Bombyx mori: one gene and its partner. The protein of the gene in region 2 purifies or fractionates together with the protein of the main gene of each other region. This does not show direct contact. Links are inferred from orthologs where the notes say so. Each region holds a gene or a part of one and is shown on either strand. Other genes may lie near its edges. The genes, in order: DnaJ-3 and dnaJ homolog subfamily C member 3.

Region 1 (8,073 bases), on a different chromosome or scaffold from region 2:
GCAGAAATAGGCAGGACGAGTGTATGCTACGTTCATATATACATATACTACGATTCAATCTTAGTTGCACTATCCAATGCACAGGACTAAGTATATACTATATTAAATATAATATCAACAATATCAGTAATATCAACTGATTGAGTTACGTTTGTAAACTACCCACAAGCACGCCTTCCTGTCGAAGAATCAGGCAATAGTCAGATTTATTTGTTGTCAGATAATTTTACGATAATTGACTTTTATTTTATTTTTGTTAATTGTACTTTAGCGTTAATTCGTAAAAAAATCCCTGTTGAAAGAAAACTATATTCCACATGGACTTGCCAAAAAAAATGTATGTAGTCTTTAAGTTCATTAAAAAGGAGAGTGAACATGACACTGATTCCTTTAAATCTAGTCCAAAAGGGACGAGGGCGTCTAAGGACTGCAATGGCAAATTGGTCTCACATACTAGCAGGGCGCCCTCAATCAACCTCTAAGCCGACTATTAAACTTAAAATCGAAATACTAATATTATTTTACTATAAGAAGAAATGAGATAGTAAACATATTGGATTTTTTTTTAAATACTTTTATAACGCTTTTCCAACACAAATTCGTTTTGGGGTATCACAGTGCATAGTAAATGAGACCCTCTACAAATGGAATGAATAATAACGCTCCGCAATTTTATAGTTTTACTGAGTAGAAAATAACCCAGTATTTGCAATATTGTATTTTTTCATATTTACTTTTAGCCAAATAGACAACTAATAAATTTCAATCATTAAAGATCGCTTTATGTACGCATCTCATATCGTGCGCGATTCGTCATAGCGTCAACAAATACCATATATATTTTGAAATAAGTCTGATGACTGAATATACTTATCAACGGAGAATACGTGACATATATAGGTACAATAATTGATAAGTTTACTTATTTCAAGCAGTCCATAAACAAACTCGCGTGGGACACGACCTGGCCGTGTGTTACAAATTGGATTTTATCTCTCCTTTTCATTTTTACGTTACACTGTGATTGCACGTAAATTGAGAATTACATTGTACAATTATGATTACACAATTTACACATTGTGACACATTGTTGGAACTGACTTGTCAGCTTCTAATTAATCAATTTAATAAATTATTTGTAATTAGAGAAATATGTTTTAAACCCATCAAGTTTTTAAAACGAATCTGCAACGAGACACCATACTTTTAAGTTGCCAATGTATTTTTAGTATGTTAAGTTTCTTTTTTGATGTAAATAATGTTTTGTAGTGTTGTTAAAAACATTTTTTCAAGTTGAACTTCATTAACAAAATATAATTTACTCGTCTTCAACAATATTGAAAAAAAAAAAAATATAACAAATCAAAATGGTATTTTTATTTTTTATAAAACCATCACATGCACGTCTTCATTCAGGTAACAAAAATCTTATGAAACCACACTCAGTCCAGCTATAATTACTAGTTTACTATCACTATAGTCCATTGTATATTTTATTATTTGGTGGCTGGTTCAGTATTTTTCGCAAAGCTGAAATAAAGAGTTATAGAAGTTAAAAAAAGTTTAAAAATACAAGATATACATAATTATTGAGAATTGGTCAACAGACAATATTAGTTAATTTTTCTTTTATTTTACTATTCGGGAGATTATTTGTACTGGGAATAAAGCCATTGTGAAACGTATAAAATTTAACAAAAGCCAATAACACTCAATAAATAAAATAATAACTAAGAAATGGGATTAATGTTACTCCTTTATAACATAAATAATATAAAACACAAACTAACCCTCTTTCTCAGCATCTGTGAAGTCTTGCTTGGGAAATTCTATATCAAAAGTTACATAAAGATTTCCATGGAGGTTGTTATTTTCAAAATTTGGCATGCCTTCTCCCTTCTTACGAACTCTTGCACCAGCCCATGTTACCTTGTCTCTAGACACTGACACTTTATGACCATCTAAATGTTCAAGTTCAAGAGTAAAACCAGTCAGAGCATCCTGAAAGTAAATAAATGGTTATTATTTTTAACAAATTATTTCTGGTAGTCAGCGGCTTGGTTCTGCCCCTAGCATTACTGACATCAATGGGCGACACTAACCTCTCACCATCAGGTGGTACGTATGCCTACAAGAGCAATAAAAAAACAAATTAATTTCTAAAAGCTTAAAATATTGAAGTTATCTACTATATCTACTACTATACTAGTTATAACTATCTTATATGTACATATTTATATTTTAATTACATTCAAACAAAAATATTAATTTGTCTACCTGTAGTGAAATTGTCACATTGGTGTATAAGTCATCAGCTTTGCGAGTAAATTGTGGGTGTCTTTCCGTTTTGAGTATTACAATGAGATCACCTGGTTCACCATCTACATGGGGTTCACCTTCTCCACGCAACCTAGATTTGTGTCCATCCGGAGCACCAACTTCTACCTGTAAATATTATATTTTTAATTCACTTAAAAATGTTGTTCATTTGAAAGTTTTTACTGTAATTAACATTTCTGTAGCATTTTCCTTTCACAATTTCTTACAATATCTTCAAAGTCATACCTCAATTTCTAGTAGCCTTTCTTCATTAACAAATTTTACATTAGGACATTCATCACACACTGTTTGCTGCATCATCTGGAATCTTCCTGGACCCAAGTTTCTTGTTACCATCTCTTGTCTACAGTTACACTTGCGGGTCCCTGGAGCTGGTTTGATTACGGGTTTATTCCTAGTTATCTGTTAAAAATTAAATGGGTGACATGCAGTTTTTATCAGATTTCTCTTTATTGCTTTATTGGAAAAATAAACCTATAAAATCTGTAAACTATAACATTTAAACTGTAATAATTGTTAATAACTTCTCTGGAAAATTATTTTATGGTCTATTTTAATTCTTATAACGTTCATAGATTTATATATTGAAAAAAGTATAATATTAGTCACCTCTATAAAATTTCCATTGTAAAGTTCTTCAAGTGAAACTGTGAGCTCCATAACAATGTCCGCCCCTCGTGGTGTTTCGTGATGTTGCGGTTCACCACCAAAATGGAATCCAAAATCACCAAAGAAGCTTGCAAAAGGGTCATTATTGTTCATCATTCCATCTTTCTTCAAACAGTCTTCGCCGCAACGATCGTACAGTTCGCGTTTTTCGGGGTCTGATAATGCCTCATAAGCCGCCCCTAAATCTTGAAACTTTTGAGCAGCATCGGGATCATCTTGATTTTTATCAGGATGCAATGCTTTTGCTAATTTTCTGTAAGCCTTTTTAATTTCATTTGTATTCGCGGACCGAGATACACCAAGTATCTGGTAGAAATCACGACCAGCGAGGGTGATGACTAGAGCTGACAATAAATAAATTAAACACACATTAATTGCGTTAACTAGCATTTTGTCTTTACACTTACAAAAACATTTAAAATCTACAATAAAATACGAATAGTCAAATTTCAGTAACGTAGTAGTTTTCAACACATTTCCGTCTTTTCTGACAGAACCAACTAAATTTTGACAAATCGGAGTTGAAAGACAATTCGTCCTCCTCCTATTGGTCAGCCAATACTCAGTTTAACAACAAGAGAAAAAGAGTTTAAAAGGCAAATTCTATTATAAATTTTATTTCACGCCCATAAGTTCTAGTATGAATCAAATTAAGAACAGTTTAAAGGCTGGGAGGCATTATTTGAAAAGTTTAGAAAAAATCGATTTCAATTCGCAAAATTTTCTAATTATATTTTGTGATTCAGTTTAAGAGGAATACTGAGAAGTTTTTATAGCAAGTGTATAATTGTTGGACGGTTAAATTTGAAGGGACTGGGTTTTGTAGGTGAGGGGTTATTTAAAAAACTCTCTTCTTCATGATTAATATAATTATATTGCAAATACTTTGTACATGTACAAATATTACACCATTATATTATTTTATTTTTATAAAACTCTTAGATGTTGGTCTGACCGTGTCTAGATGAGAAGTCATTGTCTTCACTGATGAGAAGACAATTATTTGTTTTAAACATTTAAAATAATTCCAATATTCGAAATCCGTAACCTTACATATTGTGTAAGTGCTGCCTGCCGTTATGTTCATATTCAAACTCCAACAATAATTTACACAAATCTAGTAACTACATTTCGACTACGTTAAACAATTCACAAAATCTATCTGTAAACAAAAAGAAAAACACCTTTTTGTGTTTTTCTATCTAGCTAGCTAGCTTGAAGAGTTATTCCAGCTTCGTACGGATGGGTAGGTGAGCTTACCTTAGGTTCAACCTAAGAAATTTTGCCAACCAGCCCTAGCAAGAATAATGCTTCGCAGAATTTATCATTGGAGCGAAATGGCGACTTATTGAAAAAATCCGGCGAGAAACTAATTGGACTGTTTCTATGGGTAGGTTTGCTCCTCGAATTCTTCGTTGTAATCGCTGAATTCGAAGGGGACTGATTCAATCAATTAAAGACATCAATGAGACAAAATAATAATAAAAACGGATAATTTGGGAAATCTTTCACTTAATTTAATTACTTTAATTACTCTTAAAAGAAATTAAAGTTTCATTTATTTACATGATCATGATCAGATAAAGTTGCGTGAACTATAACAGTCAAAAAAATATATAGTGGACATATCGAAATTAGACCTGGGTCGGTCAATCGTTTTCCATGACCCGGGTCGATCGTGACCCATTCGTATAGTGATCGGGTCATAAAGATTCGATCATTTCAATCATTTCGGTCATCGTATGTATCTATTTCGTATAGTTTCGTCTAGTTCGTATGTATCTATCTAATATATAAAATTCTCGTGTCACAGTTTTCGTTTCCATACTCCTCCGAAAGGGCTTGACCGATTTTGATGAAATTTTTTGTGCTTATCCGGTATCTATGAGAATCGGCTAACATCTATTTTTCATCCCCCTAAATGTTAGGGGTAGTCCACCCCTAAATTTTATTTTTTATTTTTTAGACAATTTTTTTTGTTTTTATTTTTTTATGATACAGCATACAAAAATACATACAACCCTAAATTTTCACCCCTCTACGATCAACCCTTATTTTTTATTTGTTAATTAAAAACTAAATTTTTTTGCAAGAATTTTGTTTTTATTTTGTCATGACTTAGAATAAAAAATTTCATATTACTCTGAAATTTTCACCCTCTACGATCAACCCCTATTTTTTATTTGTTAATTATAAATTTTAAATTTTTTGCCAAGATTTTATTTTTTATTTCGTCATGACTTAAAATAAAAAAAATATATTACTCTCAATTTTCACTCTTATACGATCAACCCCTATTTTTCCATCCCGATTTTTATTTTTTTTATTCTATGCACAGATCCGCAATAAGGTTGCAAGATGGCAATCAAATATTATAATTGTAGTATGATAAATTGTTATTCAGAGTTTATAATTTCAAGTTCCTTTAATTATGATTTTTTTTAATTCAATTTGATCTCCTGCCCTCGCCGGTCGACTACTGATCAACTATCAATCGATCAGTTATCCCTGCCAGGTGTCACCACTCATCCAGCAAAGTAAAATCACGTAGTAGGGATGAGGACGAAGCCGGTCTCCTGTCTTACTCACTATACATTTTTCAGCCATGTTTCTTTGGTTTTATTTGTGTATCAATAGTATGTTCAGTAGGTCTGAGAATCGGCTACTATCTATATTTCATACCCCTAAGTGATAAGGGTTGTTCACCCCAAACATTTTTTTTTTATAATTTTTTTTTTGGTTATAATGAGGTATAGTCCCCAGCGCGTAACTTGGCAAGAGTCGCTAGATGCGCAGAAGTCGTTTTTTAGGTATCTTTGGTTGTCAAGCGGGACGCGGGGAAAGATGTAGCACCGTTCCGAGCGCGCGATTGGTGAGTCAGTCGACTCTCCCCTCCCGCACCGCGTCCACGTTCCGTTCGCTCCCGGTTACACCTGTGCCTACTAAAGTTATAGGAACCCTTTGTTTATATTGAGTTTTTGTTACGAGTTGTTATTATTATTTTAAATTTAGTTTTTGTTACGAGTGTTATTGTTTTAAATTTGTTTGCAATGGCAGGACCAAATACCAATGACCATAATTATAGTCGATTCAGTCACTGAGCGTTTTATTATTTACGCCAGTGACGACAGCGACTCTTCGTTATGTCGACGATGAGGAGCCAACTCCTTCCACCAGCTCAGGTCCTACCATAAATTTAATCCAAGGGGTAGCACTATTAGAAAATGATAGTGACGACGGCGACACATAATTTTTAATATTAAGTATATTTTGTTAAATAAACTTTTTAACTTTTAATTGTATTTTATTTATAACACCTAATACACTTCACGAATTCCTCTCTTTTCTTTAACTGTCTTCTAAACACACAGGCTTAAAAATAAATTATGGCAAATAAAAAATTTAATAAAATAAAATTAACATATATGCGGGCCATAAAACCGACAATTTTTTTGTTGCAATGTACACTATGCGCGACATTACCCCCACTACACCAAAACCTTGCCAACTTACGTGCCGCTTACTATATTATGTGGTTGAATGAGGTTTTTGAGTATTTTAAATATTAGACTATAATTTCCCTAGAAATCTTATTTAAGGCAACACAACGTTTGCCGGGTCAGCTAGTTTAATATAAAAATGACCGAAGGATTGCGCGATCGATCTCGTTCTCACGTTAAAACGAGAATAAGGACTATGCGTAAGACTCCAAAAAGGACAGTTTTTATTTTTTTCGTAATTTGTATTGCTATAAAAAAGTAACTATACGATTATTATTTTTAAGATTTATTATCGTCACTTAAAATATTTTAGTAAAAGTACTAACATACACAAACAACATACTAGGTACCGGGAATATACCGAAACGCTATCGCAAGTCAGTAGTCAGAGTCACCGATGCAATGATTAATTAATTCATTCTCAAAATTAAAATACACTCCCGCGATTGACAAGTCGCGTGCGACCCGAAAGATCCCGCGCAATCCGGTTTATTTTGGATACAATCATGCAACGCACAACAAACGACAAGATAGAAAGAGTGCACTGCGTGAACAGGATTGTATGTATGTACTTAAACGAAAGAGATAGAAGATATTTTAATAGCTACGTCATTTCGTGATTGAATGCAAGAAATAATCGATTAATTAAGCAACAAGCTACGGTAATTTTTCACGAATAAAGTCCAATTTCGTTTGTGATGTCACCTGGTGATCGAATCTCTGGAAGAACGAATCTTTCAAGCACCGACGACCCGTTCACACGCGTATGGGTCGAGATCGGGTCAAAAAGATTCTGTCAATCGCGATCGACACAGGACTAATCGAAATCTATTTAATGAACTGGTAGTATTACAGTGTATAATTAAATATACTATGCTACTTACCACCTTAAACAACTTTTAGATTTTCGTATTCTTTTTCTTAAATATTTCGTTATAATCACCTTTGTCAAATTAAATTCTTGTGTGCATTGGCATTAAGGTTTCGGAGTTGTTGGTCATCAAGAAAAAAACATTGCAAACTTGAAAATCATTGTACATGTTCGCTCTGTCAATTTACTGTTTTATTTTAATATTTAGGTTTGCGTGGAATAACGTTTAAAAGCGTACGATTTAAATTAAAATTTCAATAAAATTTGTCAAATCACGAAATGGCATCTGCATTAGTGCCCGAAATTCCAGTTCCAGGATTCTCGTTTGAGAATTTTCAACGGTAAGTCCTTTAAGTACGGGCAACAAATACCATTCTACCTCAATACTTTGGATAAAAATATTTCCTTTTCTGTTTCAGTAATGCTTTTCTTGCTCAGAAAGGGTTTCCTGCACCCAAAGCCACCAAGACCGGTACTACAATTGTTGGTATAATATACGCAGACGGCGTTATTCTAGGAGCTGACACAAGAGCCACTGAAAATACAGTTGTCTCGGACAAAAACTGCCAAAAAATCCACTACTTAGCATCCAACATGTATTGTTGTGGAGCAGGAACAGCAGCTGACACTGAAATGACAACACAATCTGTTGCTTCACAATTGGAGTTGCAGCGCTTACATACTGGACGTACT
Region 2 (6,294 bases):
TTAATGTTCAAACGATACAAATATTACTCATGTTAAAATGATCTTTTTTAATATGAGTAATATTAGTATATAATATTATTAGGAGTGTTTTAGCCACCAAGAGAAAAAGCAGTTCAATAAGCTAATGAAACGGCTCTCCGGCTTCTTGCAATCGCCAACCAAAACATTATTGTAGAAAACAAATCATTTCACAGAATCATAAAGTGACTTTTTATAAAACTAATATCAGCTTTATTGTTTACAGCAAAATGTGTTTTTGCTTTAGTCGCTAACGTGATTAATCAAGTTTTAAATTTTAGTATGGCAAGAAAAAAATCTGTAGAGAAATAAAATAGCAAGAATACAAACAAAATAAATTAATGTAGTATATTTTGATCTAATATTTCAAAAGATATTAAGACATCGCCATTGTTACCGGGTCTCCTCGTGCAGCCCCCGGCGTGACGTCATCTCGCGCGGGCGACTCCAGCGCGGGGTGGGCAGAGAAACATAGTTGCGATTTGTTTATAAAACATTTAATAACAAACTTAGACTAGTTTTCTGGCTTCCTCGTCTATTCAATGTCTTTAAATATTTACAATTTATTGAGTTAAATTATTTACAATATTATTTTTGTAAGTTCTGGGCGCGCGTGTGCGTGGTCCACGGCGCGACAGTTAAATGCGAGAATGAGCCGGTCGTGAGGTTAGTTGAAGTGGAACTTGAACTGGAAGGGGCTGCCGTGCTGGAAGTGGTGGAAGGGCGAGTGGAAGGCGTCGTGTCGCTGCGCGTCGGGGTCCAGCGGGTCCGAGCCACCGTCGAACTGCGCGCGCTTCTCGGGGTCCGTCAGCACCTGCGGGACCAACCCTCGGTACTATACACACTCAGACCTCGCCGCACTGGATTTCAAGGTCAAAGGATAAGACGTCCGGTGCATTCGTATCGAGCGATGCACCGGTGTTCGGATCCCCAATTTTTGTAATGAAATACGTACTCAACAAATGTTCACGATTGACTTCCACGGTGAAAGAATAACATCGTGTAATAAAAATCAAACCAGCAAAATTACAATTTGCGTAATTACTGGTTGTAGGACCTCTTGTGAGTCCGCGCGGGTGGGTACCACCACCCTGCTTTTTTCTGCCGTGAAGCTGTAATACGTTCCGGTTTGAAGGGTGGGGCAATTTATGTCTCGAAATAGGTGGCAGCATTTACGTTGTAGATGTCTATAGGTTCCGGTAACCACTTAACACCAGGTAGGCCATGAGCTCATCCACCCATTTAAGTAATAAAAAATTAAATAAATAAACGGGGAGCGCCCGCTCTCAACTACTACTACGTCACGTATGTTTCTGTGCTATTCACTCTCAGGTATAATTCCAATGCATCAAATTAAATTTGTGTACAGTCACGGACGGCCAAAGTGGTTTGTGTGATGGTGACGATGAGATGATGGGATGATGAATAATCTCAAACATTTCCTCAGAGTACTCCTCATGGAACACACGGTATAAAATACAGAGAGAAATGAATTCCTTCCGCAGACCCCGAGGTTCCGAACGATCTGTGAGAATGGGATTATCGACAGTCAGAGCGGCCCTCTTCTGGATAGAGTTAAATGGAAGCTGGTATTTGGGAGGGGGCTCGCGTGTAGTGCCGGGCGGACATGGCGGCTCGTGTGACACAAACCTCTTTAGCGGCGGCGATGTCGATGAACTTCTTCTCGGCCAACTTCTTCTCGTCCCCGTGGTAGCTGTCCGGGTGCCACTTCTGCGCCGCCTTCCTGTACGCCTTGATGATCTCTTGTTTCGTCGCCGTCCTGCGGAGCGAAGGCTCGCGTCACTACCAGTATTACTACTACTACTACTAGCACGGCGAGTGGAGCGAACGTTACCTCTTGACGCCCAGGATTTTGTAATAATCTCTTTGTTCGGATTGTTTCTGCAGTTTCTGTGCTCGGCTGAGACCTTCCTTCGCTCGCTGAAACCCTTCATCTAACTCCAAAGCCTCCTTGTACGCGCGGATAGCTGTGAACAGGAGCGGCGCTGTAGATGTGTGTGGGGGGGCGGTGGGCGGCGGGGGTGCACGTACCGTCGTCGTACATCTCGAGTCCGAGCAGCGCGTCGGCGCGGTCGCACAGCAGTCGCGCGTCGCGGCGCAGCTCCAGCGCGCTGCTGCAGTGCCCCAGCGCCTCCGAGTACAGCTCCTCCTGTACAGTCAGGACGTGTTGGAATAGTGAATACTATTACTTATTAAATATGCCGGAAATTACTCTTTATTTATCTCATAAGATTATAGTTCTGCATATATTTTGGTTCTTTAATTAAAATGTATTGGCTGAATTGATTCCAGTTTGTTTTGCTATCCTATGTCATACTGATAGGTTGCGTCGTGGATATTCAAAGGAATGTTTTTTTTATTGTTTGCTAAATGGGTGAACGAGCTTACAGCCCACCTGGTGTTAAGTAGTTACTGGCTCCCATAGACATCTACAATGTAAATGCGCCACCCACCCTGAGATATAAGTTCTAAGGTCTCAGTATAATTACAACGGCTGCCCCACCCTTCAAACCGAAACGCATTACTGCTTCACGGCAAAAATAGGCGGGGTAGTGGTACCTCCACAGATAACCCCCAATAGATACCGCATTATTCAACATTTGTTTCAATTCGACTTCACCAAATTTTGAGGTAAGCATGAGTGACGGGGGACGTGTCAAGTGTGCTGTGATTGGATATTTCAAAGACAAACTTATAATGCATCAAATCATAGTGATGGGACAGCTTTAAAATTGTTGATCGATAAATTTGTAGGATGATCTGGATCATTGATATTTTAATTTTATTATTAGTTATAAATAAAATATAAATTAATTCTAAATTATCCAATATTTATTAAAATTAATAAAAAAGGATCTAAGTATATTTCATTGATTTTTAAAATGAATCAGCTTAGTAAAAATTCGTCTTACAGAATTCTTAGGATCTGTCTTCCTTGATAAGTAAAGAAGTCTTATATCTATATATTTTTCCACGACACTGTTTTAAATCAATAATGTGATTACAATTTTCGTGATCAAATTGGTGATATATCAGGAAAAATACTTTCACCAACAAAACTACTTAATGTTTGTGTTACAAAACGTTTTTTCTTTATATAATATTTTACAACCTCAGGTTGTATTTATTGAGCTTCGTATGACTTTCTTGATAATGTTTTAAACATTAAACATTACTGGTTTAATAATAAGGTTTTTTTTGCTACAATAGAAAAAAAATAATAATGCCCAAACAAAGGTCGACTTGTAAATCACAACACTATCGATACACGTGCAGATTTAGACAAAGACAACTATTGTAATTTACATGATGAGTGAAAGGGACATTTCAAAAAGACATCAAGGGGTGCTTTGATATTATTACTTTTCACATTTCTTAACAGTATAAGTTGAACTCTGGTTTATTCGAATTAGGTTAATGTAATAAAAGTACAGACAAGTAACAGTAGTTACCGATGAAATGTTATGCCATCTTTTTGATAACCACATGTCTTAGATGACTTGCCACACCATTTTATTGCATAGGAAGCCATTTATAATATTATTTGAATTTAAAACTATCTTTAAATATTGGCAAGAACTCGGCGTGCTTACGGGTCTTAAACTTGGTCAATACTGATGTCGTGATTCTTAGCGTCACTTCATATACTAGCTAAATCACTAATGTGCTGTGAACATTTGTGGCCCTGTATGCGGAATCTATTGGGGGTTATCTGTGGTGTGGACTCACAAGAGGTCCTACCACCAGTAAGAAATAGAATAGAAAAGAATGTATGTAAAGGTCCCCCAGATGATAAGTAGTCACAGTCGGTGAGGCGGGGCACAGCTCTGCAGTTGTGGTGTGTGAGCTTGTGTCGCTCATTAAAATAGGTGCAGCAACTGAGGTGAGCTCACGCGAGCGAAATTAAGCTTATGAGACAATGAAGTTTATTTTTTTTTCAAACGCTCTTCAAATTTGTCATCATACTACATAAGTTTTATTTAAAAAGAACGAGAAAAGAAAATCTATGTCAAAGCCTAAGATCGAGTGTGTTCATACCTTCACCGCACAAGAGCAGAGCCACCTTCGGGCCTCGAAGATCACCAGAGTGACTTCTGTCTCTACGAGCAGGACAGCGGAAGCACTCTTCATGCATCCTGCAAAATCTCTCGCTGAACTCTTGTCTTCACACTCCTGGAGAAGTTTGTCCACTTTTTTCACCTTCTTGTAAAACGGAAAACATTTCTTGTGCTCCGGATCTAATTTTAGACATTCTCTGATTTCCTGGGGAAGTTGAAAAGTTAATATGACTGTTTACAATTAATTAAATTGAACAGATTTAATGAGAGGTACTCACTTTGAGCGCGTCACTGACATGTCCCAATTTGTACAACAAGGTAGCGAGCCGGTAATATCCATCAGTAGAGTCTTGCTGTAATCTATTTACTGATCTTATGTCTGACACGGCCGAAAATAAATCATTCTGAAAACGAAATTACAAAAACACTATGAATCTTTAATATCATTTTTATGAAATATTGTAACATCAAGTATTTTTAAGTGTTATATTTCTTCGATACTTTTAATAATATATTTTGTGTGACAATTCATTATTATGATTTTAAATTAAATAAAAAGATGGGGGGTCTACCCACAAACAGCAATTTCTATGGTGCTTTTCCTCTCAGGACAGAAGTTTGATTTAGGAAAGAGATTAGTTGTTGTAATATTCAACAGTCTGCCTCAGTTTGAAATGAAGGGTAAATATTTGACAAATAGCTGGTTACCAAAGCCACGTAGGACTCTGCCCGCAGCTGCCGCAAGTGTGCGCTCCAGGGGGACACGTCGAGCAGGCGGGTGGCCAGCTCCACGGCGGCGCGGTGGTCTCCCCCGCGGTAGTACGCCTCCACCAGCCGCAGATCGTCTATGTACTCGTCTATCCTGTGGTACTGATTGATTGCTTCTTCGTTGTACGGATCCGCATATGTCTACAAATTAATTGAATATGTTTAATAGTGAATACATAAGCTTTATACCTGTAGGGAACAAACAGGGTACAGGGTACCAAATATAGGGTTCAGATGCATTATTCTGGGGATCTCTAAAAATCGTATAAAATTTTACATTAAATTAAAACAAAGTGTCATATGTCTTATGGGTAATAACAACGTAACTTAATACCCAGCAGCACAGGTCAATTATAGTGACAAGTCTAATACTTAGTAAGAGATTTATGAAAATATGTCTTAATAGCACTTTTGAGCCACAGTAACATACCTGGTTAATAAATATACATAGTATATTTGTTAGACATGTTAGATCTGATTTTATTTGCTTTAGATTTCAATTATAGGGTAGAATTAACAATTAACTACATATTCCAATTTAATTTTTTTTTATTCTGTTCTCATCAAACAGCAGAAGAAATTTTATTTTGTATGTGATTTTGTATCATGTTTCATTAGGAGTGTACTAAGCAGTTTTTCAAGTTCATCTTGTCATCTCTTTTTATCATTCAACTACACTACATTGATGTTTACTACATTATATGGTTACTACCCGCTACATTTAACATGTATTTCCAGATAGTTTTTGGTATTGCAAAACGGGTTGTAAAACTCATCATTGTGAACATGATGACTGTGACTGCTATTCTAAGAGTGCAGCAAAAGAACAAGAATCCCCCCTCCATACTCTCCTGAGCACTATAAAATGTCTACATGAAGTTTTAATAGAACCCATGCAGTTGGTATAGGTTGTCTGTATGCCTGCCTTCTTAGCCATTAAAAAAAGTTAACAACAATATTTCAAAAGATAGTAATAAAGTAATTTTTTTAGAGAAATTGATTATTCAATAATCTTGATTCTTCTTATCATACATTTATCAAAAAAATTCAACATAATATGTGATAGCATAACATAGAAATAATATTTCTAGAAACTCACTTTTTCACTCTTTTTTTGATATTTAAGAAATATTCATAAAAATTGTAATGTATGTGGCCCACATTCTACACTGTGTGATACATTAATGTATGGTCCAGCGGTCGACATTGCAATTAATTAAATATTTTCACACATCTGTAATCTGTACCTTTTTTATAAATATGCCCAATTTAACATTTTATATTATTCAATATCTATACAGTAGATGTTTCTTATCTAAAAAATAAAATTATACTAATAAGAGTTTTCCAATTCACATTGTAAGTTTTTACAAAGACATTTCCTTTGTTCTTATTGATATCAAAAACAATAACTATGACTACTTATTCA

What was found.
Region 1: the proteins of dnaJ homolog subfamily C member 3 (region 2) and DnaJ-3 purify together in Homo sapiens (affinity purification with mass spectrometry; 3 studies listed by BioGRID and IntAct, with this or other methods). This does not show direct contact. The link is inferred for Bombyx mori from reciprocal best matches to the Homo sapiens genes DNAJC3 and DNAJB11.

What each region holds. Positions count from the first base shown.
Region 1 is NC_085110.1:12,970,604-12,978,676, forward strand, and holds DnaJ-3 (DnaJ (Hsp40) homolog 3), read right to left. Parts: upstream 3,492-8,073; 5' UTR 3,400-3,491; coding exon 2,950-3,399; intron 2,743-2,949; coding exon 2,566-2,742; intron 2,446-2,565; coding exon 2,278-2,445; intron 2,002-2,277; coding exon 1,791-2,001; intron 1,531-1,790; coding exon 1,475-1,530; 3' UTR 1,356-1,474; downstream 1-1,355. Other genes in the region: proteasome subunit beta 7, read left to right, coding at 7,660-7,721, 7,800-8,073. UniProt on the Homo sapiens protein: As a co-chaperone for HSPA5 it is required for proper folding, trafficking or degradation of proteins.
Region 2 is NC_085121.1:18,214,856-18,221,149, reverse strand, and holds the end of dnaJ homolog subfamily C member 3, read right to left. Parts: intron 5,007-6,294; coding exon 4,806-5,006; intron 4,502-4,805; coding exon 4,376-4,501; intron 4,303-4,375; coding exon 4,078-4,302; intron 2,189-4,077; coding exon 2,071-2,188; intron 2,007-2,070; coding exon 1,874-2,006; intron 1,799-1,873; coding exon 1,669-1,798; intron 833-1,668; coding exon 686-832; 3' UTR 539-685; downstream 1-538. UniProt on the Homo sapiens protein: Involved in the unfolded protein response (UPR) during endoplasmic reticulum (ER) stress.